Linked DNA regions of Oreochromis niloticus. The protein of the gene in region 2 interacts with the protein of the main gene of each other region in a biochemical or structural test. Links are inferred from orthologs where the notes say so. Each region holds a gene or a part of one and is shown on either strand. Other genes may lie near its edges. The genes, in order: fbln1 and nid1a.

Region 1 (16,483 bases), on a different chromosome or scaffold from region 2:
ATCTGTTCTTTGTCATTTTCTACATTCATGAGCTCTTGAAAGTTCTTCCATCTTCTCATTGCTCACTTCACTCGTTACATTTCCAATTCTATTATTAACCACACTAACCTGCTGCAGATCATTTCCAGTCTCTATACACAGCCAATTGATACAAGACCTTTTCTCCTTCCTCAAGTGTCCAGTATCACATAGAACTCCCTAATGAACTTTGATATTTGCCAACAAAAAAGAAAGGAAGGAAAAGAGGAATATCACTGAGAAGACGCGTGGGTGTAGTGAAGGAGGACATAGAGAGGGTTGGTGTGGGATGTTCACTCCTGGGAAGATTGGCCACATTGTTTTCCACTAGGGAGTCATTTTTTCTCACTGTACAATAATGGACTTCAAATTGTTTGGAAATGGCTTCATAGCACTTCTCAGATTGATGTGCAGCAAAAGGTGGTTCTCTAATATTAGTGCTGAAGACTTTCCTCCTTGGCCTTGTGTTAACACACACCTGAATGCTCCAAAACCTCTGCTTTTATAAAAGTGTATTTGTTTAGCAGCACCTGCCTGTTACTCTTAATTCCTGGTGTGCTTAGTTTTTCACACACTGCTTCTGTATTTTGGATTAGTTTTTGTTAAATAAATAAGAATACTTTGCAATTTGTATTTTTCTTTGTTCATCTGAGGTTGTATCTACCTAACTGTAAGACCTACCAAGAACTACTAATCCATTGGAAAGTTTGATACTTAAACAGGTATTTTAGCTCATACTCTAATTTAGTTTGCTGCAATGTTTTAAACTTCAAAGTAAGTTTCCAAATTCAAACAGTAATTAGTTATTGTGACTGTTTAGCATCTTAAGGTGGCTGTTGTTATGATTTGGAGTTACATAAATGAATTGAATATTATGAATGACTGGCAAATGAAAACCAAAGTTTCCCTTTAAACATCCATATTTGATCAATACATCAACAAATCAGGTGTAAAATGGGCTTATTCAGTGTTTCTCAAAGAGGAACACAGGATTATATATATGTACACAGGGGACTAATTAACTCAGCAAGCAGCAGGAAGTAGAAGAACACAGGTAATCATGAATACGTGAAAACAGTTAGGGCAAGAATAGCAATCACAGAGGGAGGAAAAACAGAAAGTTGAAGGAAGTGCAACAGATAGCTGACCTTCAGAGTAAAACAGGAAATAACCAAGACAAGAAGACTCAAACTAGACCTGATATCAAAGACTGGAAAAGGCAGCGATGCATAAATTGCATTTAATAATACATGCATAAATAATTGTATAGTATTGTATTGTGTTGTACATAAGACTTTTATTTTATTATTTTTTCCCCCTTTTTTGTCTTTATATTTTTAGTGTACACTGAGGGCCATGTGAGCATTGCAATTTCAAATTCCTGTATATAACTGAATATATGGTCTTTGACAGTAAAGCTGACTTTGACAAATACAAGGAATAGACAGGGAAATGCTGTGTGAACTAAAACTACTACTACTAATAATAATAATGATAATAATTTAGTAATAACCAATCATGAAAAATTCTCGCACCATGATAAATCTGTGAAATGTTGGTTCTGTTATTTTCAGATCTTGTTTTCTTGTTTTCAGGTACATCCCAAACAAAGAGCCAGCCTCCCCGACAGCACAGATGACCAACCCCAAATAAATTCCCAAGGTGAAGATGTCCAAACTTGTGTTCATAGCACAGACGACAAACCCTGTTGCCCCTCACACTCTCCAAGTGAGCCACTGGGCCAGAGTAAGACTAGACCTCCAAATCATGTCAGTTCAGTGGGAGAACAGCAGCAGGTAGAGCAAAATAAAGTCCAACTGGAAGACTCTAATGAGACCTCGTGCGCTGTGTGTCAGACTACAGGAGAGCTGTTGTGCTGCCAAAAATGTCATAAAGCTTTTCATCTTACGTGCCATGTTCCAGCTCTCCTCAGATCTCCAAGGTCAGCTCCATCAAACTTTATTTATTACTGGTCTTGGATGAAAATGCGACAGCTCATATATTTTCATTTTAATAGCAAATCAATGGCTTGTTTTCTTTGTGGAATGAAAAGCACGTCAGAACAAATCCACTTTTGACAAGTCGATTTTTACATCTTGGAGGTGTGAGATTTTCATCTGACTGCAGCATTATGCACTTGTTGACGTGAGTTACTGCTTACTGGCTGTTGTGTTGAGTGTGTAAATGGTCTCTTTTTCAGCAGGGAATGGTTTTGCACTTTCTGTTGTGACCTGTTATTGCCTGAGATGGAGTATGTCTGCAAACCTGAAGCCAAAACAATAAAGAAGGAGATGGATTTTGAAGGAGCATTTTCCCCTGTGGACAAACAAGTCAGTGCTTGTTTTTAAAAATGATTTACTGTTATGTAATTATAATAATGATAATACTATAATAACAAAATGACTTCAATGCCAAGTAATTCAAATTAAGTTCAGAATTCAGCATAATCTGATAAGTCATGTATTTTTCAAATTTATAGCCGTTTTGTAAAACACCAGTGAGCAGCATCTTTTTTAAAAAATTCAACTCAGTTAAATACCATTGAAGTTGGGTAACATCAGATTAATTCCAGGCTTCACAGGTAAAAATATTCATTAACAGAGCATCACCTATTATCATTATGACTACATTATATAAGATATAAACCATAAATACAGCTGCGTTCTCTGCAGTAAGATAGATCATCCCACCTTACCTCAGTTTGATCTGCCAGCTATGTTGTCTTAATATAGGCCGAATGTCTGAATGTTCAAATTTTGTCTTTTCATTCTCACATTCAGCACGTTTCAGATAACTTTACATTTATAGAAATGCTGGTATCGGTTTATGCGGGGATGTTACTTGATTATACTGTGTAGGAGGCAGAAAACTTGTTAGTTTATACGACATTACTTTAATTTGTAACCAGCACTTATGTTCCTAAATGTAAGATATGTAAATCAAATTACATATCAAATTACAAACATATTACAAATGTTTGTACCCATGTAAATCATGGGTACAAAACCCAATAAAAGATAGTAATTGTAAATAGTAAAATAGTGCAGCTCATCTGCTTTTCCCTGACCAGGAGTGTCACTCAATTGGGAAATGAACCATCAAGTTGAAGTACAGAGTCTGCCAAGTGGCTTTCTTCCACAGCATGTTTTTTTTTTTCATGTCTTTCTTCTCTTGCCCCAGCCTGGTTCTGCTGGGGGTTTCTTCCTGTTAAAAGGGAGTTTTTCCTTCCCACTGTCGCCAAAGTACTTGCCCACAGGGGTCATAGGATTGTTGGGATTTTCTATTATTGTAGGGTCTACCTTACAATATAAAGCACCCTGAGGCATGTTGTGATTTGTGCTGTATAAATAAAATTGAAATTTAAATAGCTTGGGTTAGAAGGGAGTTCCTTGTCTCATTTTGTGTGTGTTATCTTGACAAGAAAAGTTCTGTTCATATATATATATATATATATATATATATATATATATGTATATATATATATATATATACATATATATATATATACACACATCTATAACATGCATAAAGCAAATGTTTGCTGGAAAAAGTAAATGTGTAGTCGACCCGTACGTGATAGCTGTTAGGTTAGCTAATATTCTCATTTGCTTCTGCAGTGCACTGCCTTCTCCTACGTGCAACCAAGTATTGTGCTGTCACAGTAGGGTCTTGTCTGCTGGCTCAGTCTTCAGCTACACAGTTCATTTTCCCAGGAGATTTCACCTGCTCTTCCAAGTAGCATACTGCCAGAACAGGCGTTGGAGGCAGGGAGTAGAAATAAAGACGTCATTCACCCTTTTACAAATCAGTGTACCATCAAAAGGATTTCAAGGCTGTTATTTTTATAGTAAAACTTGCTTTAAAACAGTGGTTTGTTAAACTGAGGCTACGTCCACACTAGCCCGGATAGATTTGAAAATGGCGTTTTCATCTGAAAACGATCCGCGTCCACACTAGCGTTTTCAGTCGTTTTCACAGAGTTGTGCGTCCACATTGAAAACGCTTACGTTCCAGTCCTGCGCATGCGCAAAAACGGGTGAGAAAAGCTATCTAGACCATGTACAAACTGATATTAATGCTTTTTAGGGCTGTCAAAAAACAATCAAAACAACTGCTGTATAATGCACTCCGCTATCTTTGTTTAATTGGTCACATGACTGCATCACATGACTAAAATGCGTCATCGTTTTAGAAAGTCTGCGTTTTCGAGCGTCCACACTGCGACGGGACAGCTCCGTTTTGAAATGTATGCGTTTTCGAGAGCGTTTTCTAAACGCTGCATTTTTCCTTGGGCAAAACGCCGTTTCAGTGTGGACGGGAGGCCAAAACGGAGAGAAAATGATGCGTTTTCAAACGAAAACGCATTAGTGTGGACGTAGCCTTAGTATCTGAAGGGCTAGATGCCTGACATTGCATCATGCATTTAATAACTGATAAGAACTGGTAAGAGTGCAAGGGCTGACACAAAGCAGAAAGGTGTCAAGAGAGATCCTGAGAGACGACTCTTACCAGTTTAATATTCTGCTTGACAAACCACAGATGGGAGAAATGTATTTGGTTGTTCTGATATGTATTAATTCAGGCTTATTTTTTGTGTTGCAGAAGTGTGAGAGGCTGTTGCTGTACTTGTTTTGCAGTGAGCTCAACTCAGTCTTTCACAAGTCTGCATCTCTCTCGGTGAGTCTGAAAGTATGACTGACTATAGTGGAAAAATTAACAGGATTACTGTCAGATGGAGTTACTGTAACTGTAATTTTAATTGTATGTAATACACCACATATATCAGTGATGACAGAAATTAGAAATCAGAGGCAGAGCAGCTTTACTGTAAATAAACCGTAAGTTCATTGCAGGCCCAGAACTTGAAGTGTTTCGTAATTGGACTTAAGGGGTCGGTGTGATTCTGGTGGTTTGGCTTGAAATAGCTGTTTATTTTACCCTTTACATGGCAAAACAGGGTAAAATTCCATAGTCCCATGTGCGCGCTGTTTACATGTAGATGGACACCACAGATTTGAAAAAACTAAAATGCCAACAATGTGTTATTGTTCTGTTATCATTTCCTTTCTAAATACTACAGGTACATGCTGATAACAGTCTGACTATAAAGGGACCAGTGAGTTTTTCCACAGTGAAAAACCGTCTAGAGGCTGAGCAGAGTATGTGCTATCAAAGCCCCGCAGAGTTTGTATTAGACATCAGGCTCATCTTTGGAAACTGTGTAGCCTGCAGTGAGGTACCATAGACAAATATTCTGCAACAATAACTATTATTCAGTTCTTGACATCTGTTATTAAACTGTTCATCCTTTTCGTTTTATCTTCCTTCAGTGCCGGAGTAACACTGAACTTGCCGTGACATGTAGGAGATTTAAAGAACTCTTTGAAGATTATCTGAAGCTCATCTACCCTGATCAGACCTTTCCAGAAATCAAACCAGAGATGATTCAGACTGCTTCACCCGAGTGTCAAGATTCTCAACTCAAATCTCTTGACAATATAGTCCCACTTGCAAAACGCCAACGCACATTTTCAGATTCCCAGGATGCACCAAGCTATCTCAGTGGAGAAGAGGGTATTGGATTAAAGCTCCAATTTTCCTAACCAATTGGATATGTGCCGGACGGCACAAAGAATGTGTGGTGTGTAGCGTTTTATTAAAAAATGTTGCCTTCAAGTTACCAAATACATTTTATTTTTAATGATTAAATGGTATTGCATGACAAGAATTGTGAATTCAGAAGTCAAATGATACTTTTTTGTGTTCTAATCAGAATTAAAGCTCGTAGGTTTTGCAGTATTTCTACTTCTGACTGAAACCTGAAGAGGACATTTTAGTTGTTCTTTTGTTACTACTGCTGTAATCAAATGATAGTAATCACAAACTCTCAGGTTTCTGATGTTAAATTGTGTTTCAAGGCCCCTCACAGTCAGATCATTAATAGCAAATTAAAATAATCTAATAAAATTCAAGACAAATACATTGCATACTTTCACACAGTGCAGAATATTTCTGTTTGCCCTGGTTTGTTAGGCTCTATTTACACAGTCCAAATCTATAGTTTTCACAATGTAAAGGAAAATGCAATTTTATTTAGCATTTTTTATGTATATTCTGGCTTCTTTATATTATATATTCTGGTGACACTGCCCATGTAACAATGTGTGTGATTATATCCGTCAGGGTCATAATGTTGACTTAAAAAGCTTTCTTATAAATGTAAGACATAAAGACTGGTTTTCTCATCACCAGAGGTCAGAACATTTACGCATTCAGGTCAACTTGCATAAATGAACAAGTATAGTAACTATTATTCCTTATATATTGAGTAACAGCTCCAGCTAAGGTTTAATGTTCTACACCTTTTTTGGCTCGATAGCTGCATGTTAATTGAGTTTCATGTTGTTCTACAAACTCCTTTGGGTCCCACAGGGCAGATTTCAGTCTGCCTTTGATGTGTTAGTGACCCTCTGCAGATTGACATAGACGTGGCAAGACCAGCTATAAGGAGCTTCAAAGGAGCTGCGCTACACCCCCAACAACAAGATTAACACTGTTTGAATGCGACCTTGGCCACTCCAATTTCCTTCACCTATTAGCTTGCAAGTCAGCTCATGCTGCGTTTACTTGTTAAAGCCCAAATGTAGATTTGAGGTGGAGCGAAGGAATGAGGCTTAGTTGTTTCTGGTGGACTGAAAGGCATGGGAAGTTGCCCTCTGACTGTTCTCCAGCCAGCTGGACTGGAAGCATGGCAGGGTTCTGGCTTTCATGCTGGACATTCTTCATTCCTTATATGGCATATTATCTCTTATTAGATAAGATTAGGACAGGTCAGCACTAAAGGCTTGCCCTTTGTTGTTGTGATAAGTCTAAGAAGGAGTTGCTACATCTTTGGCTGATAGAGGACTCCAGGACCTACATATGCTTTACTATAGTAGTACTACAGTCTTAACCCAAAGGTACAGCAGACAGTAATATATTAAAGAGCACAAAATTTATTTATTTTTGACAATCGTGTGAGGAAGTACTTGCCCCCTCCCTTTTCCCCGCATATTTGTTACATGTTTCAGATCATCAAACACATTTTAACAATAGCTCAAAATAACTGGAGTAAAAACCAAATCCTTATCAGGGTTGCTGGAGGGAGCTGGAGCCTTTCCCAACTGCCACAGGGCAAAAGATGGGGTACACCCTGGACAGGTCAACAGTCTGACAGAGGACTAACACACACAGAGACAGAAAACCATTCATACTCACATTCACACCTATGGGCAATTTGAAATCACCAATTAACCCAACCCCACTAACTGCATGTCTTTGGTGAGTAGGAGGAAGGCGGAGCACCCAGAGACAACCCACGCAAATGAGAGAGAAAAAAAAATGCAACTTTTAAATAATAAGTAACTTTATTAAAGTAATTAAATCTATCCAAACATAACGGACTGTGTGAAAAAGTAATTGCCTTTGTTATTGTGATAATCCCCCCCTAGATTCTTGGCTGATGGAGGACTCCATTAACTACATATGCACTGCTAGTAGAGGCTTAACCCACAGGTTGAGAACACAATAAAGTCCCGCGTTGTGGACTTTTATGATTCTGTGAGAAAGTAACACCAAGAGATCAGGAAGGGGCCGAATACTTTTTGATGTCACTGTTTAGGATTTATAGCAACTTTTAAGGTATTTTCCTGTCTTGCTGATACTAGACTTTGCTTATTTTTCCAAATGATTTGGTAATCCATTACAAAAGCCACCCCACCATGTCTGCTTTTACTTGTGGCAGGGTCTAATTGCTGTGCTGTAGTGTCCAAGTGCAGGTTGATTCGAAAATATTTCCCATTTTCCATGCAGGTGCAGTGAAAAGGAGGAAATAAAAAAGAGACAGAACCTTTCTGTGATGGATTACCTGCTCAAACAATTTCCCCAGAAGCTTGTTTATAATATAAAGCCCATTTTCAAAAATATTATATTAGAAATATTGCAATTTGATACATATACTGAGAAAGGAAGCTGTGGATTTTTCATCCTAACAACTTACCCCAGTTACCCACCTCTGTAAAACTGGTGTGGTATGAAAGAGAACTGCCAAGAATTTGCAATTTATTTATGCCATTAAATGGGCTACAACATTCAAAACACCAGTGTGCTGTATTAAAATGTACTTTTACAGAGAGATTGTCAGAGTACCAGCAGAAAATACACACTGTAGTGGACGGAAGCACAAAGAGATCAAGACACGGCTCATCAAGCACTACACATTTAAAAGGGCAATTATCCTTTTATGACAGTCATATACCTGTGGCCTTTCTTATACGCCTGTGGTGTCCTTATATCAAGCCCTTGGTGATGTTTCTTGTTGGTTAGACTGGTGGTGGTGGAACCATATGGCTTTGATTAGAAAATCATTTAATCTCTCTCTGTCGCCATGCCCAGAGCCAGTAGACTGATTGAATTTGCAGAGGGTCTTAGTTGGTACAAAATGTTTATAAAGCACTATATCAATTATTTCTCCACTCCTTGCCAGTTCTGGTAGACGTGTGTGAGTGCATGCGTCTGTGGCTTGTTTATATGTAGCCACTTTTCACAGCTCGTGATCACTTTGACTGATGTTGAGTGCACAGATGTGGCACACTCAGGGAAGATTGAATTCATTCACATTACTATAGAAATTTAAGCTTTATAGTAGAACTGCAGGGACCCGTGACACCGCTGTGAAGATACAATATTAAGGGTGGGATGGGTTGGAGGGGGTGTCACAGAGCCAGGTCTTTGTCTCTTTAAGTGCACCAAACTCATATATAATTGCGAATAACAGCAGTTAGTGGTAGTGAAAATATTTATTTATTCTTTATTTCCCTTATTTCGTCAGAGAAATCCAAAAGGTTTCCAGGCTTACAGTCTGGATATAGCCACAACACATTTTTAAAATACCCCCAAACCAGCTCCAGATGTTGGGTAATCACTACAGTCATTAGTCACAGGCAGAAATACTCTGCTCTGCCATTGATGGAAGTGCAGTTTCCATGTGTGCGCGCACACTTCACGGTACAGTAGCCCGAAGATGACTGCGAGTCCCATCTCCCGAGGCAGTTTTTCAGATGTTGTTCAGGACACTCAAAAAAAAAAAGGAAAAAAAAGGATCTGCAATAGGAGATATTTTAAAACGACAGCTCTTTTGTACACTTGCTAAAATATACTACCTGTAAATTATATATTGTAATCATAAACTTTAACTGCGATGTGGTTTGAAATAAGCCAAAAAAAAAGAAAAAAAGATAAGCAGTAAGTGTGCGCCTGTGGCCCTCAGCCCGCCCCTCGCGGTGCCGTAATTAGACATTCCTTCAGTCAAGCTGCAACTGCGACTCAGCTCCATCAAATCCACTTCTTTTCCCAGTCTAGCTTCTTCTTCTTCATCTTTTTTTTAAAGGAGCACTGCAGTTTCTTCACACATCCCCGCGGAACAACCAGCATCGGAAAGTCCACCTCGTCCACGTCTGTTTCTCTCCAGTTTTTGATACTTTGAGTCTCACCTTTTTCAATGGGTCTGCGCGTAGCGCTGCTCTGCTCTCTGTTCGGAGTTCTTCTTGGCCAAGGTAAGCGTGAGAAGCTGGGTATCACTGCTGCGAGGTGAGCCAAGCAGTGGGACTGTGTATGTGACAGTGATTTGGATCAATAGCGCATATTGCATGGCAGCTTCACTTTAAAGTACTCAAAGTAAGAAGTAGACAGATAACAGGCTAAAGGGTGATACTTGGGGAAGTGATGCATTTGTCTGGAGGCTAGTTGGGGCATGTGATGAAAGCAAAGTTTACAAAGGTGGGTGCTTCAAAGTGTTGCAGGTCTTTATTAAAATTGCTAAGGCTTGAACATCTCAAATTAAAAGATTGAAACTATTGTTTAGAATCATTGTTTTCCCTCTGTTTCTTTTTTATTACCACTTACAATGTACAATAAGTAGCACTGTGACGATATTAGTGCCACCTAAACCATTTTCCAACTTTTTGTGCACTGCATCAACAAAACCCACAGCAACTTTCCAGTTAACCTTTTCTACCTTTAACGCTCTCACTACTGTGTTTTATTTATTTACACCGTGGACTGGAATCACTCTGTTCCATGAAGTGATGATATGTCACCCCCCAGAGTGTTAAAATGTAGTTTCACACCAGTTGTCAGGCAAGAGTCCACCCTGCCTGAGGTCTCTGCCTGCAAGTCAAAGGCTGAGTGCCTTGGTATGCTGTGATGCTCTGTAAGAGCAACCAGTATCTCACCAGGGCAGGGTGGTCCTAGACAGAAGGGTGAGATTTATACTTGAGCCTCACAGCAGGGTCACCAAGTCATAAGACTAGCTGTGTCTTAAAAAGCCCACTGGGGCAATTTCACAGTCAGCAGGGGGACCTTTCTCTCAGCTGCCTTCTCTGTAGGGGGTTGTGTTGCAGGTCTTTCTGCAGATCTGCTGGGTATCAGCTCAACCAACTGCATAACCATATGCGTTCCAGATAGATAAGCTCGACCTCTGTTTCAGCCTTTTGTATATATCAGTAAGATTGGAAGAAGCTTCCACATGTAAGCTTTGAGTGGTGCCTATGAAAGAGATGCACACTTCTACGTTGTGATGTCTGTCTGAGGCCAGCTCCTCTGTCTAGGCGGGGCTCCACGAGTAGGCTCATTAAGCCTTGTTTACATGAGGCGTCTAGACGCAGACAAGACATGTGCTGCTCTGCCAAGACAGAATGGCCCTCACAGCTAGCAACATCATCCAAAATGGAAATTAGCCCTCTCCAGACAGACAATGCACCGAGGAGACTGAGAATTATGGCAGGCTGTATCTAAACCAGAGCACAGCTGTGCCTGGTTTGCTTCTTCTTCTTCTTTTTTTTTTTTTGATAAAAGACAAGAAGCCATGCAGTTTTAAAGCACTTCTGGTCTTTCAATTTTAGGTTTTCGAGTCAGCAGACAGCGGTGGCAAAGGAATGAGTCAGTGATACCTAGTGGGTTAGAGTTAGTTATCAGCAGAATGCTACTGTGAGGGGAAAAGTCCAGAACAGATCGCTGGGGGAAGTTTAGAATAAGTGACCAACTGTTCCTGGCGTTTAAAATGCACTGACTAAGCTCCCGAAGAGAAAGAGTTTAGGATTAGTTCATTTTGTTGGACTCTGGAAGTGTACCTCTTGGATGCCTTTCCAGTTCTAATACAAATCATGTGTTTTGACAAGATGGTGTCAGTTACTGGAAGTGGTCAAAAAACCAAAACATTACACATATACACAGCGGTACACACATTTAAATAGGATCCGTTAATGTTAATAAACATCCATATTTTCAGCCTCTTGTGGGCACAGTTTTTTTTTCTAGCTATTTTGGAACACCCTGGTGTTACTTACACATTCAGAAAACAAATTAAGTCAGTGAGCGAGAGACAGAGACAGAGAAAGAGAGAGGCTGGGGGAGCCTACTTGGTAGGCCCATGTGAAAAGCTTTTAAAATGTCATCTCATTTCATCCAGCTGCTACAAGGTTTATTGGCCAGAGGATACTGGGATGTGCCAGACTTCCAGAAGTCAGTAGTGAGTCAGCTAATATGCCTGTCTACCAATAAATCCTATATCCATATTCACTCCTTTCTGCCAGGTTAAACCTCCTTTCTGTAGTAGGAATGGCCACAGTTTTTTTCCCTGTAACCTCGCTTACTTTCTTAAAGAAACAGACAACAATCAAAACGTGTCATTTTTTAAAGAACTCTTTCTTGTGTCATTGTTATGCTTCTCCTCATATTAGTTCTAGATTTCAAGTGGGACTTATAGAAACTTGTGATGAACCTGAGAAATTAAGCTTTACAGCAACTCTTGTGTTGTGTTTCCACGAGGTTTACCAGTGTGCAGACTGTTTGTGATAATAACTATTCCCGCTTTCGCCTCAGCTTGACTAGTTTGATTTAATGGTCATAATAAAACATTCCTCCTGCACCTCTGGGAGAGGGCAGCAAATCTATAAAACTGTGGACTGCAATTCCAGACACTTGTCCTCCCTCCCTACCTGCCTAATCTAACTTATTATCTGATCTTGCTTACTCCTGCTAGACGCAGATGGTTCTGTTTGAGGTATTTCACAATCACTATTCTGGATAATTCAATATTTGTTTTCTCTTTTTCCTCTCAGGGGGGAAATAAAGATGATTAATGTCAATTTTGTAGACTGATCTTGGTTTGAGACACAGGCAACAAAAAAACTGAAAAAAAGCCCAAGACGTGGATCTGCCAAAGCTATTTCACGTTTGGCATATCACACGCTAACCACAGGCAAACGAACGTGCTTGATGTAATTGTTACGGCTGATTGTTTAGAGAGTCGAAGCATTCCAAACTCTCTAATCCACGTGAATAAACAGCCAGATTACCACAGAGTTGGTCGCGCTCCAGTCAAAAGGCCTCATGTGGTTCTGCAAAAACATATCCATCATTCATTGTCTTTGGCAAAAAACAAACAAAAAAATCTCTCAAGGCTTTTCTCATATCGTCAAACAGACTCTGAATTTTGTTTATTTGCTATACAATTTGTCTTGGGTCACAATAGCAGGATTGTCTTTTGTTTAGGAAAGAGAGACAAAAAAACAGATCATCATAGCTCAATTAATAAAAACTGTTTGGTCTCGCTGAAAGACAAATGCTTATCGGATAAATGTTGCTCATTTCCCTCAAATGATGCTCAGAAGTTTGCCATCTGATATATATTTGAGGCACAGTGTGTTTAGGCACTTGGTGTGTGTGTGTGTGTGTGTGTGTGTGTAGGCAGGCAGGTGGCCGGCACTATATTGTGGGGCCTGCAGTTATTATGACAATGACACATGTGAAAATGGAGTGTTGTGATTCACCTGTTTGCACATGCAAAGGTAAAAACAGTGTTGTTTTTATTAGGAGCAGAACAAATCTCAATGGAGGACTGCTGTAAAAACGGGCAAAAGCATGGCACCGATCATGAAGACTGTGCATCCCTGCCCCTTATTTCTGAGTCAACCACATGCAGGTAAGCCGGTGCTGTCTGCTACTTTGCTCTGTTAGGTTTAAGTGGGGTCGTTTATAGACTTCCAAGCCGTTAAATGCTGCATTTCTTTGTCAAAATCATATTTTCTATCCACTGTATTGGGCCCAAGTGATTTGGCATGTGCTGGATATTAAGGAAATGTCTAAATGCCCTTAATATGAGATCGCTTTACCTTACTCCCATAAATCTCTAGGCACATTATTCACTTCACGTGAGAGCAGGAAGCGCTAATAGTGATGGGATAATAACACGTCTGCTGGTAACCATAGAAGGTGTGCTGCCACAGGTTCAGGGCCTATAAGCCAAACTGATGGCAAACACATTTGCCACTGTAAGTGATCCCAAATTTGTCTAAATTATAGTGTGAGGAGTGGAGAGGAAAAGGGGCAGGGATTTGTGGGGGTAGCAGGGTAATATTTAGGGGTGGAAAAAGGTGAGGGGGGTCAGAAGAGGGGCTGTTTCAAAACCCAGGAAATACCTTAGAGGTGAAATCCAACATAGAGGGAGGGAATAACAGGAAATCTGAGCGATTACTTCAGACACCAACGTAAGAAGAAAGAAAAAAAAAAACAGGAGAAAAACAGTAAAAGGAAAACAGGAGCACACGACTGTGCCCTTAAAAGGTTCTGCAGAGGAGGCGTGTACCTTGTTGTGACTTTCAGATCTCGAGTGGTTTATGTGGAAAGAGGTTTCTGGTAAGAGTTGATAAAAAAAACTTGGTTTGTTATGTTTTTTTGTCTTGTAAAACTGCAGGGAGACAGAGATCCAGACCAGGGAGGAACAGTCAACCTCCCCTCCGCTCCCTTAACTGATTGGGCAGACAGTTAGACAATACAAGGAAATCTGATCTGAACAGAAACATTTAGTAAAACATATTTTTATGATAACGCTCTTTTGTCAGATTGGGCTGGCTTCTTCCCGGTACTGCTTTTCACAATTAAACAGCTATTGTCATTTTTTAAATGATCCTTGCAGAAGATTCGTGTTTTGCTAATCCCTAGGGGAATCTCAGAGGTGAAGGTCAATTGCAATACATCCTGTCTCAAGATGTTACTCATTTTATGGTTATGGCTATTTCTCAAATCCTAACTGTGTCAGCAAATTCTTAAGAAATGGTGAACTGATTCTGTCCCGGTGATGTCATTGTGGCTGCAAATAAACTACAGATACTGGCAAATGTTAGTCAGCCAGTTAGGGCCCCTGCTGTTCTGCTTTTTTTTGTTGTTGTTGTTTTTGTAGGGTGTGAATGTTGGATGAGGTTTGTTTTAGTGATTTAGATAATTTTGGACAAATGTGCAGCTTGGGACTGAAATCTTTGGTTTAACTTGGGTCTTAAACAATCTGAACAGAGTCCTCAGAGAGCTGTCAGCATTGCAAACACAATACATTCGGAGTGTCCTCCGCTGAGCTCATTCTAGACTTACTCAGCCCAGTCATTCATCAGTTTTCAGTGTGACATGAGATCCCCGTCAGGCTCGCCTCGGGCCGATTTTAATGAGCTGCACTTTTAAGACAGATTTGCTTTGCCATGAGCCAGTTATCGATGGAGCAGAGAGTAAATGCACCACCTGTGTTTTGTGTTTTTTCTTGCTGACAGGATAGTGCAGGAGCAGTGTTGTGTAACAGTGCTCGAGGATAAAATGTGCACCAATGGTATCAACACTGCCAAAGACCAGGGGGCCTGCGATTCTTTATTCACCAACACCTGCGACACCAAGACTACAAAGGTGCGTTTGTATGAGTGTATATGAGAGTTTTGTTAGTAGAAATTACAAAACAGAAAAGTAAATCACCAAAAAACGTCTTTAACCACTTTGTTGGACGATGATTATGGCAAGTGATTGATGAGAGCAGTGTTGTATATCTCTCTATGTGTGTGTGTGTGTGTGTGTGTGTAGTGCAGCAGGATGAGGCATGTCACTGTAGGGAGGAATGAAACTTGTTGCTAGATTATAAATTAAACTGTGACTGTGGAATATTTCACCAGCGCATATCCAAGCACCTTTTAGATTTGAAATGCTTCTCAACCAAACTCAGGCAAACTCTTGCCTTTATTTTCCATTCTATATGTACTATATACACAGTATATACAGTGTTTTTGGCAAGAATCTTGAATCACCCTTGGTTTCCTTATGTTCTGCTTCCAAGAAGCCAGACTTTCTTGTAATTTTAAGCCCCTTTTCCATTAGTAGCTACTGAGGTCGGCTCGCCACGGTTTGCAGGGTTTTCCGTTAGATGGAAGTACCTGGTACCAGGACTTTTTTAGTACCTATTCCTCTGGAATAGGTAGCCATCTGAGCAATCCAAAAATATGACATCAACAGACTGTATGTCACCGATTGGCTGGTCAGTGGCGTAACTCGATGAGTAATGAGGGTGTCTCCTTAAGGAAAATCAAAACCACCGCTAAAGTCAACCATTAAAAACAAAAGGACCAAAACAGTAAAAATGATTAGGCATAGCTATTGCACCAAACATCAACATTATAGAGAAACGTTCCCATTTGTTTTAAATTAATTGAAATAAATAGTAATTTTAATGGGGTTACAATCCAATATAAACTCATTATTAGTGAGCTTTATAACTAGCATGAAAATCTTTACTTTTACACAAATCTAGGCTCGTGTAAGATCTGCTTCCATCTTTGATTACAGATTTAAATGCTTTCTTTTTCTAACCTTCATTAGTTCCCTTTAACTGGTTTTATGTCTTTCAGAAGTATTTTGATAAATTATTTAATAAAGAATTTGGTCTAGAATTTCTATCCATCAGTTGTGATCTACTATATACTGCTTAGAAGCTTTTAAAGGTGTAGCCCCACACAGCCCCACTGCATGCTACAACCGTACTAAAGCTTTGACCTACTCAAAAGTGCTGTATAAAATGGAACAGTGGAATTGCAAATACCTGTGATGAGTATTTTATGTTTAATTTCAGTTGAGATACATATTCTTTGTGGTTGGACATCCATAAAGAGACCGAGATGGCCTGATCTCAGGCACATTTTAAAGGAATATAAAGCCTTCTGTGTTCTGCATAGGAGTACCTATTTACATGATGTTTTTATTTTAAAATAAAATTAGCAGTGTAGCTCTGATGAGGGAAAACAAGCCATCCTTAACACATAACCAAAGCTGATTGCTTCCCATATTTACCAGAACCTCTTCTATGCTGACAAACATCAGCTGCTCTGTGTTCCTCTCTCTGCTGCTGCTGGCATGGCTGGCAGCATGCTATGATGATGCACTTACAAAAATCATTTTCTCTACAGTGCTTTCAAGTTATTTTACACAGTTTCTCCTGCCACACCCTTTTTGTGAAATTAAAATGCTTAAAATCTGGAGCATCTTTAGTAGCACGAAAACAATATGAGAATAACACCACCACGGGGTTGCAACACATAACAACAATGCTCAGTGGCTAGTG
Region 2 (16,733 bases):
GCAGGTGCAGACATAGGACGAGCCTCCGGTGTAGCTGCACTGAGCGTGGGGTGAGCAGGTATGGGTGCCTGCCTCACAGTGGTCCACGGGTCGATCAACCTCTGAGGAGAAGCAGGACAAATTCTGGGAAATGCTATCAGCGTGAGAAAAATAATGTGTTGACTGGTTTTGGATAGAACTGCTTAAGTTGGGGAACAGGGTGAAAAATATGGCGTGAAATTAAGACGAATGAATACAGTTTAATATTTATTTAACTGAAATTCAAGTTGGATCTTTGGGGGCATGCCAGAAAATGCTTTACAGCCACCGTGCTGCTGCTGCTACACGGTTTAATAATCACCACAGACTTTTTCATACTATAATGAATTTTATTACAGGTTATGTTTGCACCTCTACCTCCCTAGAACGAGGTGAGGTTTGCCTGATATGTAATAGCACTTTACAGCACACAAAAACCACTTACTAATGCAGGTTCTCTGGTCACTACCGAACTGATACCCCTCTTCGCACTCGCACCGGAAGGTCCCGGGCTGGTTGTTGCAGATAGCGTTAGGGCCGCAGCGCTGAGGATCCTCTCTGCACTCATCGTTGTCTGATAATAAGAAATAAAGAAACAAATAGTGATGATATGCTAAACTCATAACATTTTTTTTTCATCTGTCTACTGTCTTTTGCTTATCTAATTCAGAGTCACAGAAGAGCCTGGAGCGTATCCCAGCTGTCATAGGATGAGAGGCGGGGTACATCCTGGACAGATCGCCTTTCTGTCCAAGTGCGTTTTTCCTGTTTTTATGTACGTAAAATCCTGGGAATCTTTACGTGTGACGTTGAGTCATATAAACAAAATGACTTGATTTAAAAAGTCTTGGATTGGGTCAGAGTTAGAGAAGTCTGGTTTTGCCAGATAAGTTTTTCATTATGAAATGTTTTGGGATCAAAGAAAAGAGCCTGATTAGAGTTCCTAATACTTTTATGATAGCATCTGTCTGAAATTCTTCCTTCCTCTTCCTGTTTGGTCTCTAATGCAAAAGATTCGGTTGTATAGAGCTTGAACTAGCTCTGTTAACCTGGTCTCTGAGTCGGAAATGCTTTGTTTATCCTATGGGACTCCCCCTGCTAATTGTATGATTGTGCAGTTCCCTAGTCAGGAAGGAAGGCTTTAGAAAATCGGTTGATTTTAACGATGAGTTTGAAAGATATGGAAACAGTTAGATTTTTCCAAAAGCAGAAAATAAACTCTAACTGCTCTTTGTTACATGATTAAATATGCAGTTCTTACCATAACATGTGCGTCCATCGCCGCTGAAACCAGCAGCACATTGGCAAGTGAACGTTGCTCCCTCTCCGACTTTGCAAACAGCATTCGTGTCACATCCGTGTCTTCCGGTTAAGCATGGGTTCTCCTCCGGCTGCCCTCCTGAGAAGGAAAGGTGAATTTTATTTCTAAACAGGTTTTGTTTTGGTTTTTTGAAGCAAAACATACCTATTTTTACCATTTAACAATAGCAACAAAAAGCCCGTCTGGTCAAAATAATCTCTCTGTCAGGACATGTTGTTCCTGAGGAAGGAAGTGAGCTCAAACCAAAGGCAGGAAAACGAAAAAGTCTTCTCACCATTGATGTCCCCGATCTTGCTGGTCAGGGCGAACCGGATGAGTCGTTGTCCAGGATCGTAAATGGCAAAAATGTGGTCCATGCTTAGCATCTGTGTAGGTTTCATGTCTCTCAAAGTCTCGCTATGATAGCAGCCGTTGAAGGAGATGGTCTCACGCCACTGATATCTCCTGGTTTCCCTGGATCCATCCGGCAGAGTCACTACGTAGTCCCGAGTGGACGACGAGGTGATCACTGAAAGGTGAGATGGACACGTTACAAACACTCAGCTTTTTTGCAATTCTTTTATGTCTCGTTCAAAATCAGAAAAGGTGGTGAAATATTGATTCTCTGTTCCAGATGTCTCACAGTTGTTGTTGTACTGGTAGATCTCAGAATACGGGTCGAGCTTTATGGTGGAGCCAAGAGGCACCTCGGCCACCTGGCCGTCCAGGTTGGTGCTCACAATCAGGTGGTCGTGCTCATCGATGCCTTTAAACTCTTGCCTGATGATCAGCTTTTCATTCCCTGGCATAAAGGTCACCTCAGCCTGCCGAGTGAACTCCCCCCCTGCAGAGGCCAGAGAGGAGGATGTTAACTCTAAGACTTTGCCCTGGGATGAACTTTGTCTCGTGGCTTTCTGTTACAGCTGAGGTAATGCAAGTGGAATTCAGGGAGACAGTGCGGAAGACTGCAGCTGTATGCAAGCTGTGTTTGCAGCAGCGCTGACATTTGTTTACAGAAATTTATGCTTCCCACTAGGTTTTTTTTTTAAACCCTGTACAAACTACAAGACAAGCTACTGAATGTCACATCATGAAATATCTTCATTGCAGCGTTGTTCTTACTCACCGATGATACTGAAGCCGTTCTTGAAGCCCGGGTGCTCCAGAGCAAACGCCCACCCAATCGCACCACTAATTGACACCAGGGGCTCCAGCGAGGGCCCAACGGTCTCCGGGAGGTCACTGATGGCGACGTAGGCTCGACCCTCATTCACAACAATGTAAGAGTGGAGGTCGATGTTGGCGAACTCCACCGGAGAAGGAGACCTGCCCACAAACACTCTTCCGTGTACTTTGCCGTTCACCCTCTGTGGCTTTCCTGCAACCCCCCCCAAAAGAAAACAAAAACACACCCACCCCATCGAAGTTACTCACAGAGACATGCAAACCCACTTCACTTAAAATGAATTTTATCCAAGAACTGCATGTGAGACTGCAACAAGACAGCTAAGATTTCTTCTTATGTTTCCACATCTACCAGCTAATAAAAAAATGTCATATTTAAACGCTTTTCTGCATGTACCTTCTGCCACACACTGTATCCCGTTGCCATAGAAGCCAGAGATGCAATGGCAGCAGTATCCGTTGGCGTAGTCCCTGCATTCACCAAACTTGGAGCATTTATTTCTGTTGTTTGCACAGCTGCCAAGGTTGTACGAGAACACTGAAAACATGGGAAACGGTAGGAAGAGTAAGAATACCATGGCTGGAACAGCTGATAAGACAGGCACAATAAACATTTATATACGACACGCTCTCACTCTCAAAATACAGTGCGATAGACATGGCTCAGGAAGCAGAGCTGCAAACAAGCTTGCTACCATCAGCGAGTGTGGGTGAACGGCTCACTAACAAACACTCGTTGGATTAAAACACCATAAACTCACCATCTACATTTATAATTGGATCATCCACCTCCACCACCTCCCGGTTCTGTGGTTGGAACTGAACTGGGTGGATTTCAGTCTGTTCCTGCAGATAAGGAGAGAAGGCTACCACCTGTCCATCAGTGTACACCGGCCTCCTTGCAGCGCTGGACTCCTCATAAGCGTCAGCGTCTTCTTGTGGTGGAGCCTCAGTGGGCAGCTCAGGGACCTCACCTGGAGCCACGTTGGAAAAATAGGGAGAAGTCCCAATCTCGTACACCCATACACCCCTCAGGCCAGAGTTCGTCTCCCTGTGGGAGGAAAAGTTTAAGTTTCTGGGCAGAAAACATGTCTTCAAGAACCGTCATTGTTAACGTCTGACTTACTCTGCTAAAGCCCTCACGGACTGCTCGTTATCATTGGTGGTGTGGTAGTGTGGTCCCTTGCTGGAACCGAAGAAACCCTGGACCAAACCCTTACTGAAACCAGCATGCATGATTACATTAGTGTCTCCCACAAGCATGGAGGAAAACTTTATCCCATCCCTTGGATAGAGGACAATAGCGTATGAGGTGGTCTCCAGAGATGCAATAACCAGCTGGAAGGTGTTTCTCTGAGGAACAAAACATTATAGACTCTGTCAGTGACCACGTCCACTCTAGATTACTTGAATAACTATGTGACACTCACCTTCTTGATGCCGCTATCTCCTCTGCTCTCAAGTCCATGGGTGGTGACATCAACCCAGGTGACCACCACAGCATGGGTGGGATTGATTTCGTCGTCTTCAGGGAAAGCCCTGTTGATGTGCTCAGCAGCGCGGCGTAGAATATCAGGACTGGAGTCCTCTCGGAAGAAAACTTTCCCCACGCCATCGCTCGTGTGCAGGTCTCCTTGCAGAGCTGCAATCATGCCAAAATTTGGGGGCATTTTGCCAAGATACGTCAGCTCGCTTTCTGGCTCTTTTGTGGCGACAAACCCATTGGTATTAATCTGAAACGAAAAGCGAAAATCATTAATCTAGAAGACAGAAACTGAAATGAAATTCCTGCTATTCTTGACACAGTTTTATTCTTGACACAACTTGAACTGTTTCACAGGGGATACAATCCCAGTTCAATCTGACCCACTTTGATCTTCATTACACTAATGATTTGAGTCAGCAGCTATGTCCCACTACTGTGCTAATGAACAAACAAGATGCCATTTAACACAGTCTTTACACACTTGCAGTGGGAACACATGCGAGGCTCGTAAAAAGAAAGAAAGCAGCGCTCGTGTCAAGAAAACACGCCCAGACACACACTGGACATGGGGGCTCCTTCACTTCCTGACCAAAGGAAAAAACAAAAGGTTTCCTGTCCTTGCCCCCGATGAGTAGCCCCAGAGAGCCTAAAGATTGCGCACTAAATGTCATTACAGAAACTTCCTGCCAAAATGGAGGGTAGATCTGGGAAAATGATCAGTGATCCTATTCACAGAGGTGCTGCAGATAAAGAGCTCTAAGGTTAGTGGTTAACATGTAAGTGCTCAGTAAAATATGGATCATACTCATGAAGTGAGAAGAATCACCCTCCCACCCCAGGGCAGAGACAGTTCAGGGCAGACCGTCTCACAGATGAAAACAAAACTCTTGAGGGCATCTTGACTGCAGCGCAGAAATATGTTTGTGATGGGTAATGGAAGGTTAACCTGGAGGCAGTCAGCAGACTAATTGGTGAACACTGCATTCATGTGTTTCATTTAAGCTTCAGGCTCGTGTGTTAATCATGTTAATCATTGTCTCTGCACAATCTCCTTAAATGGAGATTGTGCAGAGACAGCCTCCACTGGGTTGAGACGGGACAAGCTACTGTGGAATGAATGGTAAGCTTTACTAAAGAAGAAACCTTCATTTTAAGAGCTTGAATGCTTGGTAGAAACATCTTTATGCATAAAACATCAGCAAAGCTTTGACGAATGCATCTGTAAGTGTAATTACTGCGTCATGGCACAGTTTCCACACGCAGCACTAAAACAGAGATGTAGCACTTTTCTTTGAAACCAGAACTGTGGGAATAAAGGGTTGCTTGTCCGTTCCACACAATGGTGCGGCTTCTTTTTAAAAGCGCTACAGGCCAACAGTTAATATTCTAATATTCTACTGTAAATCATACAGTTTTACATGATTTATTCCAGAAATAAACCTCCCAGTGACCACTTTGTAAAGTTCTCTGTCTCTTCACTGGGTGTTTTTGGGATGGATTGCAAAATAAGGTTTGGTATTTGGTGTCGGCAGTAAAATGATAACCTCGAGGGAAACAAAGAAATGCGTGAACACATGCTTTCGACATGATACAGCCGCATCTGCGATAAGAAATCCAGTATTTACAAATACTCCACAGACAAGGAAAAAGTGATACCCTGCTGGAGCTCCGTTTTGCAACTTCTAGGAACTGTTTAAACTTACTCCATTTCTGGCTAACGCGCAATTGCGCAAGAACGACGGACGGTCGGTGACCAGTAAAGCCAACGCAAGAGTATTAATGTTAATAATAATAATCATCTTGGGAAAAAAGGTTAAGAGTTAACTTACAAAGATGCTGCGGAAAGTGCCATCATAAAACAACATCGGTTTGCTCAGATCCAGTCGATACGTCTGATCATTCCCAGGCTCCAGTAACTGGTCTCTTGCGCTCGGACCGAAAGGAAAAAGCTCGTTTCGACTTATGCTCTGTACCGAGACCACAAATCCGAGAAAACTCAGACAAGCGATCCAGCCTTGCTCCTTCCAACCCATGGTCCGTCTTTCAGAGGGAGCTAAGCAGTCCTGCGTTAAAGGCGCGAGTGATACATCGAACTCAGTGGTTGTAGAAGAAGTTGTGGGCGGTCACTAACTCAGTCACAGTGGAGTTTCAGTGAGAAGTAGCCCATGCTTTGCTTTCATTAATGTTCCTGAAACAAATGGTATGGTGCTGTTGTTGTTGTTGTTTTTTAATGATGGCATGCTTTGGGGCGCTTTGATTGAGTCAAATTAAACTCTGAGAAGAGCTAAGGTCATTTGCAGATCCTTTATTTAAAATTCTTCAAACAGATTATTGCAGTGTTGCCAATACAGTAGAAAACAGACAGTTGTGTGCAGATTATAAGTGCTTTTAATAGAAGGGCTACTGTCTCCGGAGGGACAACACTGAAGCTGTATTTGCAGGTTTGGACACAGGCCAGCGGGCGATCAGAGTATGGACCAGTAACCGGCAACAGAGCCCCATGCCCGATTTGACTGAAACATTATGTAAAGGACAATATCACAAAGCACTGTACCATACACTAATCATCTGAGGCATGTGCTGAGGCTATCAGACTCATCTCCAGCTGGGATAATGAGAGGCATGCCGGTACAGTAATATGCTTCAACTTGGAGCTGTTTTTGAGATGCTTAGTGAACCGTCCACCCTTTGGTCCACAGTGCTCTGACAGTTGGTATTCACGGTCCCCCACAAAGGCTTTTTGCAAATGTTTACCATCATTCCAAAATGCAGACTCACCCACCGCTGTAGCACTTAAAGTGTAAAGTGTGTTGTGTTAGTCCCCGAAGGGAAATTACTCCTCTGCATTTAACCCATTCACCTAGTGAAGCAGTGGGCAGCCACCAGTGCAGCGCCCGGGGAGCAGTGTGTAGGGACGGTACCTTGCTCAGGGGTACCTCAGGGTAGCCGTTCAGTGGGGTCGAACCCCCGACCTTCCGATCATGGGGCAGACACTCTACCTACTGAGCTATCCCTGCCTATCTTTAATGACAAATTACCTCCAAGACCTAGAATGATTTCCACAGTATATGATATGTTTAGACAATGTTTCTGCGGTTTTCTCATAAATACCACCAGGATGAGATTTCTTTAAACAAGACAGTGATTCATGAAGCTGCCTAATGTTGTGATAAAACACCCAACATTAACTTCTTCTTCAAACCTGCTGAGACTGTGTAAATGACTCTAACGCTGCACAATGAAATATTTCTTCTGTTCCTCTGAGCTGCTAGGTTTTCTTTGTAAATTTGACCTAACAAGTAGTAACAATTTATCATTTACAAAGTATTTTCCCCTCTGTATATTTGACACACTTAAATGCTTCAGATCATCAAACATTTAGACAAAGGCAACCCAAGGAAATACAAATGATTAAAATGATTATTTCATTTATTAAGGGAAAAACCTACCTGGCCCCATGACAAAAAGTAATTGCCCCTTAAACCTAACAACTGATTTGGCCACTTTTGGCAGCAAAAACTGAAATCAAGCATTTTTGATAACTGGCAATGAGTCTTTCATGTCACTGTGGAAGATTTTGAGCCACTCTTCTTTACAGAGTTGTTTTAATTCAGTCACAATGGAGGGTTTTTGAGTATGAACGGCCTGTTTAAGGTCACGCCAAAGCATCTCAATCTGATGTAAGTCCAGACTTTGACTAGGCCACTCAAAAAACTCCCCCTTTTAAAAAAAAATCCAGTCAAAGGTGGACTTGTTGATTTATGAACTCTGAGCTTAATTGACACAAGTGAAACAGACCTGCAGTTCTTTAGATGTTGTTCTAGGTTCTTTTGTAACCTCCTTGTTACGGCCCTAGCAGGGCCTCCTCCTGCAGTTGCCTGTGTGGGCGTGTCCTACCAGCTCTCCTGCCTTAGGTGCCACCTTTTTCTTTTGTACAGCTCATTCACATCAGCAATTAAAGGTATTTAAGCCCAGAGAAAGGTGAGCTCTGGGCCAGAGTGCCATGTGAGTGGTTGCAGTGAGTTGTGTGTGTGTGTTCTGCTCCTTCTTGGTGGAGAGGAGTGTGTTTGGCAACTAATCCTTTTTAGTTACTTTTCAGTTTACTGACCAACGCTTGAGTTTTGTTTTGTTTCTTTAAATGGTGATAGCGGCTTGTCCATCTCTTTTAGTCGAGTATTTGATAGAAACTTTAATAAAACTCTTTAATGTAACCCTTTTGCCTCCTCGTCTCCTTTTTCCGACCTGGACACTTTTTGTTACTTCCCCTTATCGCCTGTAACATCCTGAATGAATCATTAAAGGGTTATCGGAATAATTTTGATAGGCTGGCCTTTCCTGGGAATGTTTAAGACTGTTCCAAGGTTTTTGTAGATAATGGCTCTTACCATGCTTCACTGAAGTCCCAAAACCTTAGAAATTATGCTTCCAAAGGGATCTCAGATGTTGAGATCTTTTAGTCTACTTCAGTCTGACGGACAGGGTCAAGGTGGGGGAAATTACATTTTCACACAGGGCCAAGTAGCCCCCCCCCCAGTAGCCCCATGAATGAAATCTTTGTTTTAAAAATGCATTTTGTATTTACTCAGGTTATCTTTGGGTAATATTACAATTTGTTTGATGATCTGAAACATTTAAGTGTGTCAAATATGCAAGAAAGAAGAAATCAGGAAGAGAGCAAATACTTTTTCACAGCACCATACATGCTGTGGTTCCAAAATCAGCAACACAGTATCCCCCGATGTCTTTCTGTTTCTCTACAGCTAAAAGGCGCCACCTCGTGGTCATTTTGAGGGATTTCCATTTGTGGTTTCTGAATACCTACCTCACAGATTCACATGGTAAATGGTAAATGGTAAATGGCCTGTATTTATATAGCGCCTTAACAGTCCCTAAGGACCCCAAAGCGCTTTACATATCCAGTCATCCACCCATTCACACACACATTCACACACTGGTGATGTGTGTGACACACACATGGCTTCAAAATTAATATGCATACACCATATTTAAATAACAGAGTGCACTTGTATTTCCTCAACACAGATTTATATTGTTATAAATGGGCTGAAGAGAATGTAATTCATAACAGTACAGTGTTTGTAGGAAATAAAACGGATCTCTCTGCGTTTGAATCGTGAGACACAATAGACCCTTGTTGGGATATTTACATCAGAGCCGGTGATGCCATTAGCTCTGACTTGTTACTGTCTGAGCGAGTCTGCTTTCTCTGACCAAGTTGCCTAGGAACCAGCAGGCTGGTGTTTGATGTGTCTATAACAGGACGCTGTGGCCTGATAATCAGACTGAAGTGCTATTTCATTATCACTCCAATACTGTTACAGATGAAACCAAAGATGCAGGCAATATGAAGGACTGCAGCCAGGCTGAAGTATTTCTGAGTGAACAAAGAAACCGATATATACCATGTACAAAGAGGTTTTATGCTATCTGTATACACTGACAGTACACAGCCACAGCAGTGAAACCACTGACTGGTCAGTTTACTGCAATGTTCTGCTGGGAAATGCCTTGAGTCCTGGCATTCATGTAGATGTTACTTTGACACTTACCACCCACCTAAACTTTGGAATGGACTAAGACATCCATCCACACCTCCCACTCCATGTCAGAGCAATGGCATCCCCCAACAGCAGGACAGTGCACCCCAGCACTCTGTACAAACTGCACTGACCTGGCCTAATTAAAACATGCCGTAATTAAGCCTCTGGTTGAATTATGCATTTTTGAAGTAAAAATATATGCATTTATCTTTGCATTTACACAGGCCAAACACAAAATCACATATCTCTGATATAGGAGAGTACCAACCTGTGGTTTCACAGCCAAGGGGGAGGTACTGTAGCTGATGGCATCCTGTTTGGTGTCTGGCTGGCACTGTCCCCGTGTGCTAAAAGATTAATGGATCCCAGTGACCTCCATCCTTGACATTCTTCATGTTCACATGCCCTGGTCTTGTGAACCCAAAACCTTGCTGTTAGGATATTTACCATAACAAACAAATGTCCCTTAGATTTCTGTGCACACTGGATAAATAACCGATTGGGTCATAACCTGAATTCTGTGACTTGTGGTTGGAATTACAGGGAAATGTTACATTTTATTTCATTTTAATTTAATAAACAAAAAATGTTTTATTTGTGACCAGGTGGACTATTCAATGTATGAAAAGTATATAAGTTCTTCTGAAACTCAGGATGTAGCTTAAAATGTGGCAGAAAATAATCCTGATGATATCATGAAAGCCATGGGACTTACTTTTTTAAATGGAAAAGCTACATTGCAAAATGTATCTGTGAAGTTCTAAAAATGTGGGTGTTTTCCAGGCAGGAAGGGTCAAATGAAGAACCGATCTGCTTCATCAAAGCTGTAGGATTCAGTATTTTTGGATCATGACTCATAACAGGAACTAAAAGTCAGGAAACGATCGCCTCTGTAGGATTAGTTCGAACATTTGTTGACCATTTAAAAGTCTGAATTTCGCCAAAGTTGGCTGTTTCTTTATGATAATTTAACTATATAAACAGTGTATTTATACCATAAAGTCAACCTATCGTACTTTTTTCTTATTTTGTGTCATCAACATACTGTTACAGTGCTGCATATTCATATGAAACATGGAAAAAGTCTACAATAATGACGTCAGTGCCTTCTCAGAGAGTCAAAACCTCAGGTTTCAACTGCTCAGACAGGCCTTTTCTGCTCTGGGATCTAGATCATGATCAGTATTACACCTTTTTTTACCCAGGTTGTCCCACTGAGCTCAAGAAAGAAAGCACATAGAAATAGAAAGACACATTATACATAGTTGAGGAAAAATATGCATGATAATGATTTCAGATTCATAAATAGATCATTTTAAAATGTTCTGGTAACATCAGAAAATGTAGCTCCATGTTTATTTATTTCTGTATTTGTTGGAGCTCATTCCAGTTACAGGCAGTAAGGTTTCTAAATCCAGTCTTTTTGAAGTTCAGTGTGAATAAGAGGCAAAGCTAATGTTAGAAAGTCCTGTGACCTGACACATTATAGTGCTATCCTGAAAGAGGCAAACACCTCTGACTGTGAGCACAGTACCTGCGGTTCAAACCTTCTGTTTGCAAGTTGCAGCCAATCAGAGGAAAAAAATCATTACTTTATTGACCTCATTCAATTCTTGTGTCCTTTTTGTAAATGTAATTTTTGCCCTGTCTTACGATTGGCTTATCAGTCATCTGTAAGGACCTTTGGACTGCAATAATCTATTAAATGTACAAATGCATTTTTGTATTTTGAAATGAGATAACCTCGAAAGTCTGAGGCTCTGTCTTGTAAAGAGGACAAGTACCAAACGCTAAATAAAAATAACATTTCCCTCCTTTTTTGTATGTAAATGTATCTCATTAAGAATAATTAATTCATTAATTAACGTATAATAAATCTTTAAACTTCATAAAAATGTTAAACCGTAATGTTGATCTGGCATTTACACGTTGTCGTTCAAAACATGAGGTTATTACAGTAACTAAAACTAAAACTAGATGTGAATAAAATAAGATAAATAAATAAAGCTTCAGTTTTAGATTTGTTAATTTGGTTAAATTTATTATCAGAACTTACCTGATGAGGCTTTGGCGGACATGTTCATTGCATTGTTTCAGTATAATACCTTTGCAGATTTTCCTGAATCTTAACCCTGACACATTCTCTCCATACAATAACAGGAATACAATAAAGAAAACAACTAATGCTGAAACTAATAAAAACCGAAGTAAAAACATTTTTTAAACACTAAAAACTAAACTGAAACTAAAAAATTATAAGACATCAAAAACTAGTTACTTTTCACTCTGGAAAGGAACTGAAACTAAACTGAGTTAAAAATAAATAAATAAATTTCAAAAAGTCAAAATGAAAGAAAAATAAAAGCTGATTAAAGATCCTGACTTTTGTCGTTAAACTGTGTGAACCGGGAGGGCAGCCCCCCCTGCGTGATTAATTATACTCTTTATTTCACTCATCTTGATGAACTGAAGGTAAACACATGTAAACTCTCCCGGGATCGGCGCTGCGGTGGGAAACCCCTCCACGGGGTTAAAGGTACGGCGACGTGCGTCAGCTGATGCGTAGCGTAGCGTAAACGAGTGCGCAGAACGGAGCGGATGGGGGCGCTGGAGGAGGCTGGTCCTCTCTCGGAGCTCCTGCTTGCAACTCTGAGCGGCTTCCTGCTCTCTCTCCTGACAAACGGCTCATTCTCATCGCTGATCATGTGCTTCGCTCTCCGGCTCGGCTGCAGGAAGTTGGACTTGCTGCGTTTCTTCCCTCCTCGCTCGTCTTGACAGCCTTGTTTTCTCCTCCCCCTTTCTCCTGTTTTCGCCCTGGCTTCCATCTCTCTCTTCGGCCGGGCGTGAGAGAGAGACAAGAGCCGACAAGCTGGCTCTGTGAAGCCGCAGGAGCTGGCGGTGATCACCCCCCTCTTCCCACCCCGGACACAGAGAGCAGGTCATGGAGGCTCTGGCGGAGGAGAAGGGGCTCTGGGCGTCGGACGACTCGCAGCCCCTGCCTACTTTGAGCCCGGCCGTGCCACCCTACGTCACTTTGGGCCTGACGGTGGTCTACACCGTCTTCTACTCTCTCCTCTTCATCTTCATCTACATCCAGCTCTGGCTGGTCCTGCGGTACCGACACAAGCGCTTCAGCTATCAGACTGTGTTCCTGTTCCTGTGCCTGCTGTGGTCGGCGCTGCGCACCGTGCTCTTCTCCTTCTACTTCAAGAACTTTATCACAGCCAACACTCTGGGGCCCTTTCCCTTCTGGCTGCTCTATTGCTTCCCCGTTTGCCTGCAGTTCTTCACACTCTGCCTCATGAACCTGTACTTTGCGCAGGTGAGTTGCTCAGATGTTGTCACGTTATTTTTCTTTTTCGTGTGTACAGTGTTTGATTAATGAGGGAAGTCTCTGTCTGGGCTAAAAAAAAAAAAAATGTGTCACACCCCGGCTGGTTTATAAACCAGTTAGTCCAACATCCAACTTACAGTGTGATAATGAACGAGCAAACAAACTAAATGTGGGGCAAAGGGTAGATTTGAGTGGGATAATGTGGAAATGCTGAGAGCTGCTTTAAAACACTGATGTATGCGATTGTTTTGTGTATACTACTGTCATGGATGGGAGGACGGGGAGAAAGGTGGACCACCTGGTCGCTCTAGGTATAACACCCAGCCAGTCTAGGCAGATCGCTGCCCCTCTGTGAGCCTGATTCTGTTGGAGGTTTCTTCCTGTTAAAAGGGAGTTTTTCTTTCCCACTGTCGCCAGGTGCTTGCTCACAGGAGGTCATCTGATTGTTGGGGTTTTCATAGTACTATTGTTGGGACTTTACCTTACACTCTAAAGCACCTTGAGGAGACTGTTGTTGTGATTTGGTGCTATATAAATAAAATTCATTTGCATTGAAATAGTTGGCCAGTTTCAACACATTTTGATAATGTTGGTCCATAAACCTCATGTCATAATTTTCTTAATTTGTCATGCCTGCAGAGCATCTTTGAATGCACATGAACTCAGAGCCATACACCCACCCATTGTGGCTGGCTGGATGGCTCAATTTATTTATTTTATTTTTATTTTTCAGGATTTTGAATTTTAGAGAGTGGCATTGTCAGGATACAGGCCATGACCCCAGGCTTGACATGCCACTGTAACAGTGATTCATATAGGAAGTAAGTCGTCCACTGAATATTACCTGTTGCTCTCAGTGCAACAGACTCCCATTCACATCAGGTGAAAAAGTGGGATGCAGTGAATCATTCCTTCAACTGCTTACATAATCCAGATACTAAATAATAGCTCCTCTGGCCTCTGCCTGAAGCCTATTTTTAGCGTAAATCCTCTTGCGCTTGATGTGAGTCACAGTTGCGAACGAGAAGCGAGGCTCAAAGCTTCTGAGGCCCTGCGCTGTGTGACCATTGCATATCCGAAGTTCAGCTCTAAATCGTTTTACAGCCTTGAGGTTCCTGTTTAATCAGAGTGTCTTGTGCGTTTCGGAGAGCAAGAACAGAGAAGTGAAAGCAGTCTGACACAAGGCCATCGCTCATTTGAATGAAACTGTGTTTGTTTCCTTTTCACAGGTTATTTTTAAGGCAAAGTCCAAATATGCACCGGAGCTTTTGAAGTACAGGTAAGACCAGCTGGTGGACTTAAGAAGACTCTTTATTTTATTTCTTTTTAATAGCAATTTTTGGGGTTAATAACTCTTTGCCTGTTTTTGTTTCCTCACCACCAGGCTGCCACTGTATCTCACCTTCCTGTTCATCAGCCTGGTGTTTTTAGTTGTCAATTTGGTGTGCGCCCTGCTGGTGAGGATGTCCTCTGCAGAAGCCCACACCATTGTGCTGGTGAGGGTCGCGATCAACGACACGCTCTTCGTCCTGTGCGCCATCTCGCTGGCCTTGTGTCTTTACAAGATCGCCAAGATGTCGCTGGCCAACATTTACCTGGAGTCCAAGGTGAGATGTCCTGCAACTCAAAGTCAGGCAGGAGTGGTGCGGTGTAGACTTCCTGAACACTTCCTGAACACTGCCACTTACGGCTGATTTGACACCCGGTGCGTCACTAACATCAAAAGGTATTGTGCACCCTCGTGTGAAGAGTCACTTCTGCACATAATTCGTGCTTGCCACGTAGAGATCGTTCCCTAGCAACTGGGCATCGTTCTTGTGCGTGACAAATTGTGCTGCGGTGCGTACGAAAGCTTAAGGTTCGTTATAGTGTGGACATGCTTCTTGTGTGTCCCAACTGTCCCAATCACACCTTAATTAAAGATACAGAAATTCCTCCAGTGCATGAAGGAGGTCTGTTTTCCAAGTTTTGAGCATGCTGATGCAAAAAACCAAGTAGCACAGTTTCATGAAACTTAGTGGAGTGGTGAAGCGTGGAAAGGGGAAGCACATAATATTTTTAGTGATGATCTAGATCACTTTCTTTAAGCCATTTCTTGACGTCTCACCAGTTTACGTCTTATTTTCAGCCTAATATGAATTCACGAGTCATTCTGTTTTGTTTCTTTTAAACTGAAGGGGACATCAGTGTGCCAGGTGACGGTTATAGGAGCCATCGTCATCCTTCTGTACGCATCCAGGGCCTGCTACAATCTGGTGGTGCTGGCGCTCTCAAACAAGAGTATTAACTCCTTTGACTATGACTGGTACAACGTTTCAGACCAGGTGAATCACCGGGGGAGGGGGCCACGATGGGTCATGTTAACAGTTTGAGCGCCTTTGGCCCAAAATGTCATTTGGTTTCCTGTCTAACTGGATAAACTGGATAAGAAGAATGATTGCTCTCTATAGTAAATCGATACCTCACAAAGAGACTGTAGGAAGTGTGGAAACAAGGGGAAGCAGCTATGCTAGCTCAGACCGGCTCATCTAAAGCTTACTTTTTTGTTTCTTTGCTCTGCTGCAAATGTGTAACAAAAAGTGGGTTTTAGTGCGAGTTCTAGAGAAATCAGTCTGTTTTCCAACTCCTTTAAATATTTTATCTCTTATCTCTTAAAAGCCAATTAGCTGTGTTTGACTGTTCAGACTAGCTGGTCAGAATTTAGTAAGACTTGCACGTGTCCTTTTTTTGCTCTCATGTTATTCTAAAATCCATGCATCAATTTATTTTTTTTTTCTTTCAGGCAGACCTACAGTCGACTCTGGGCGACACCGGCTACATCGTCTTCGGAGTGATCTTGTTCGTGTGGGAGCTGCTCCCCACATCTCTTGTCGTTTTCTTCTTCAGAGTTCGACAGCCTAAACTGGACAGGGTGAGCCAGCAGTTACCTTAAACCAGTCAGGAACCGTCCTTGAGATCACAGGTTTACAACACAGGTTTATAAGGAGGACAGTTACCTTTGAGTGTTTGCATTGACGTCTTCTGATTATTTTTTCTGTTCGGCTTGTACCGCAGAGTGGCACTGGGCTTCCTGGTCACGTCTTCTCCTCTAGGGCCTATTTCTTTGACAACCCGCGGCGTTACGACAGTGACGATGACCTAGCGTGGAGCGTAATGCCTCAAAACATCCAAGCCAGGTAAGCGTGCCACGACCTGTTCCCTAGAAACTGCTGCACAGGAAAAAAATGTTCATGAGACGCTTAAAGTGTTTTGATTTTTGACTTTCTAGTCTCGCCGCCGACAGTTACGAGTGGGGGAGCCAAAGCGGCGGCATCGGCGCCTACATCGGCGATGACACTTACAACTTCACTCCTCCTCCAGAGGAGCTCAGCCACTACTGACAGGAGTTCATGATGACTCCCTCGGACCTGTGGCTTTGTTTTGTTTTTTTAAAAATTGTAAAGTTTTGCACACTGACTGACCGACCAAGGCACACTGGGATCAAAGTGCCCTTCAGACTTCAAACATCCAATTTTCTATTTTGTCTAAAGAACTAATAGACTTTTGTTGCCAGTATATATACAGACCCAGTAAAGGGACGTGATTTTGCACACTCTTTGTACAAAGCCTGATCTGCTCGTAAAGGTTTATATTGAATACTACTTAATATATTTCCTGATCTCTGTAATATGTACTGTATTTCTGTTTTATGTAACATCTATGAACAAGTTTCCTTTTTTCATACAGATTTGTTTATATAGAGATATTCATTTACTTCATATTAAAAAACAAAAAGGAAAAATACTGTACGAATGAAGTTTAGTTTTAATATCGCACCAGAATAGTTTCTATGTGGATCTCTTACAGCTT

Evidence for each region.
Region 1: the proteins of nid1a (region 2) and fbln1 form a complex in vitro, tested with the Homo sapiens proteins (3 studies listed by BioGRID). The link is inferred for Oreochromis niloticus from reciprocal best matches to the Homo sapiens genes NID1 and FBLN1.

Annotation. Positions count from the first base shown.
Region 1 is NC_031972.2:46,197,028-46,213,510, forward strand, and holds the start of fbln1 (fibulin-1), read left to right. Parts: upstream 1-9,324; 5' UTR 9,325-9,556; coding exon 9,557-9,611; intron 9,612-12,930; coding exon 12,931-13,039; intron 13,040-14,654; coding exon 14,655-14,784; intron 14,785-16,483. Other genes in the region: transcription intermediary factor 1-alpha, read left to right, coding at 1,614-1,960, 2,219-2,348, 4,621-4,695, 5,099-5,254, 5,349-5,621. UniProt on the Homo sapiens protein: Incorporated into fibronectin-containing matrix fibers. May play a role in cell adhesion and migration along protein fibers within the extracellular matrix (ECM).
Region 2 is NC_031978.2:23,796,781-23,813,513, forward strand, and holds the start of nid1a (nidogen-1), read right to left. Parts: upstream 6,110-16,733; 5' UTR 6,023-6,109; coding exon 5,819-6,022; intron 4,237-5,818; coding exon 3,934-4,236; intron 3,857-3,933; coding exon 3,630-3,856; intron 3,555-3,629; coding exon 3,265-3,554; intron 3,042-3,264; coding exon 2,901-3,041; intron 2,697-2,900; coding exon 2,445-2,696; intron 2,163-2,444; coding exon 1,962-2,162; intron 1,848-1,961; coding exon 1,614-1,847; intron 1,418-1,613; coding exon 1,280-1,417; intron 593-1,279; coding exon 464-592; intron 102-463; coding exon 1-101. Other genes in the region: gpr137ba (G protein-coupled receptor 137Ba), read left to right, coding at 12,492-12,872, 14,114-14,163, 14,269-14,491, 15,062-15,208, 15,667-15,795, 15,939-16,060, 16,153-16,264. UniProt on the Homo sapiens protein: Sulfated glycoprotein widely distributed in basement membranes and tightly associated with laminin. Also binds to collagen IV and perlecan. It probably has a role in cell-extracellular matrix interactions.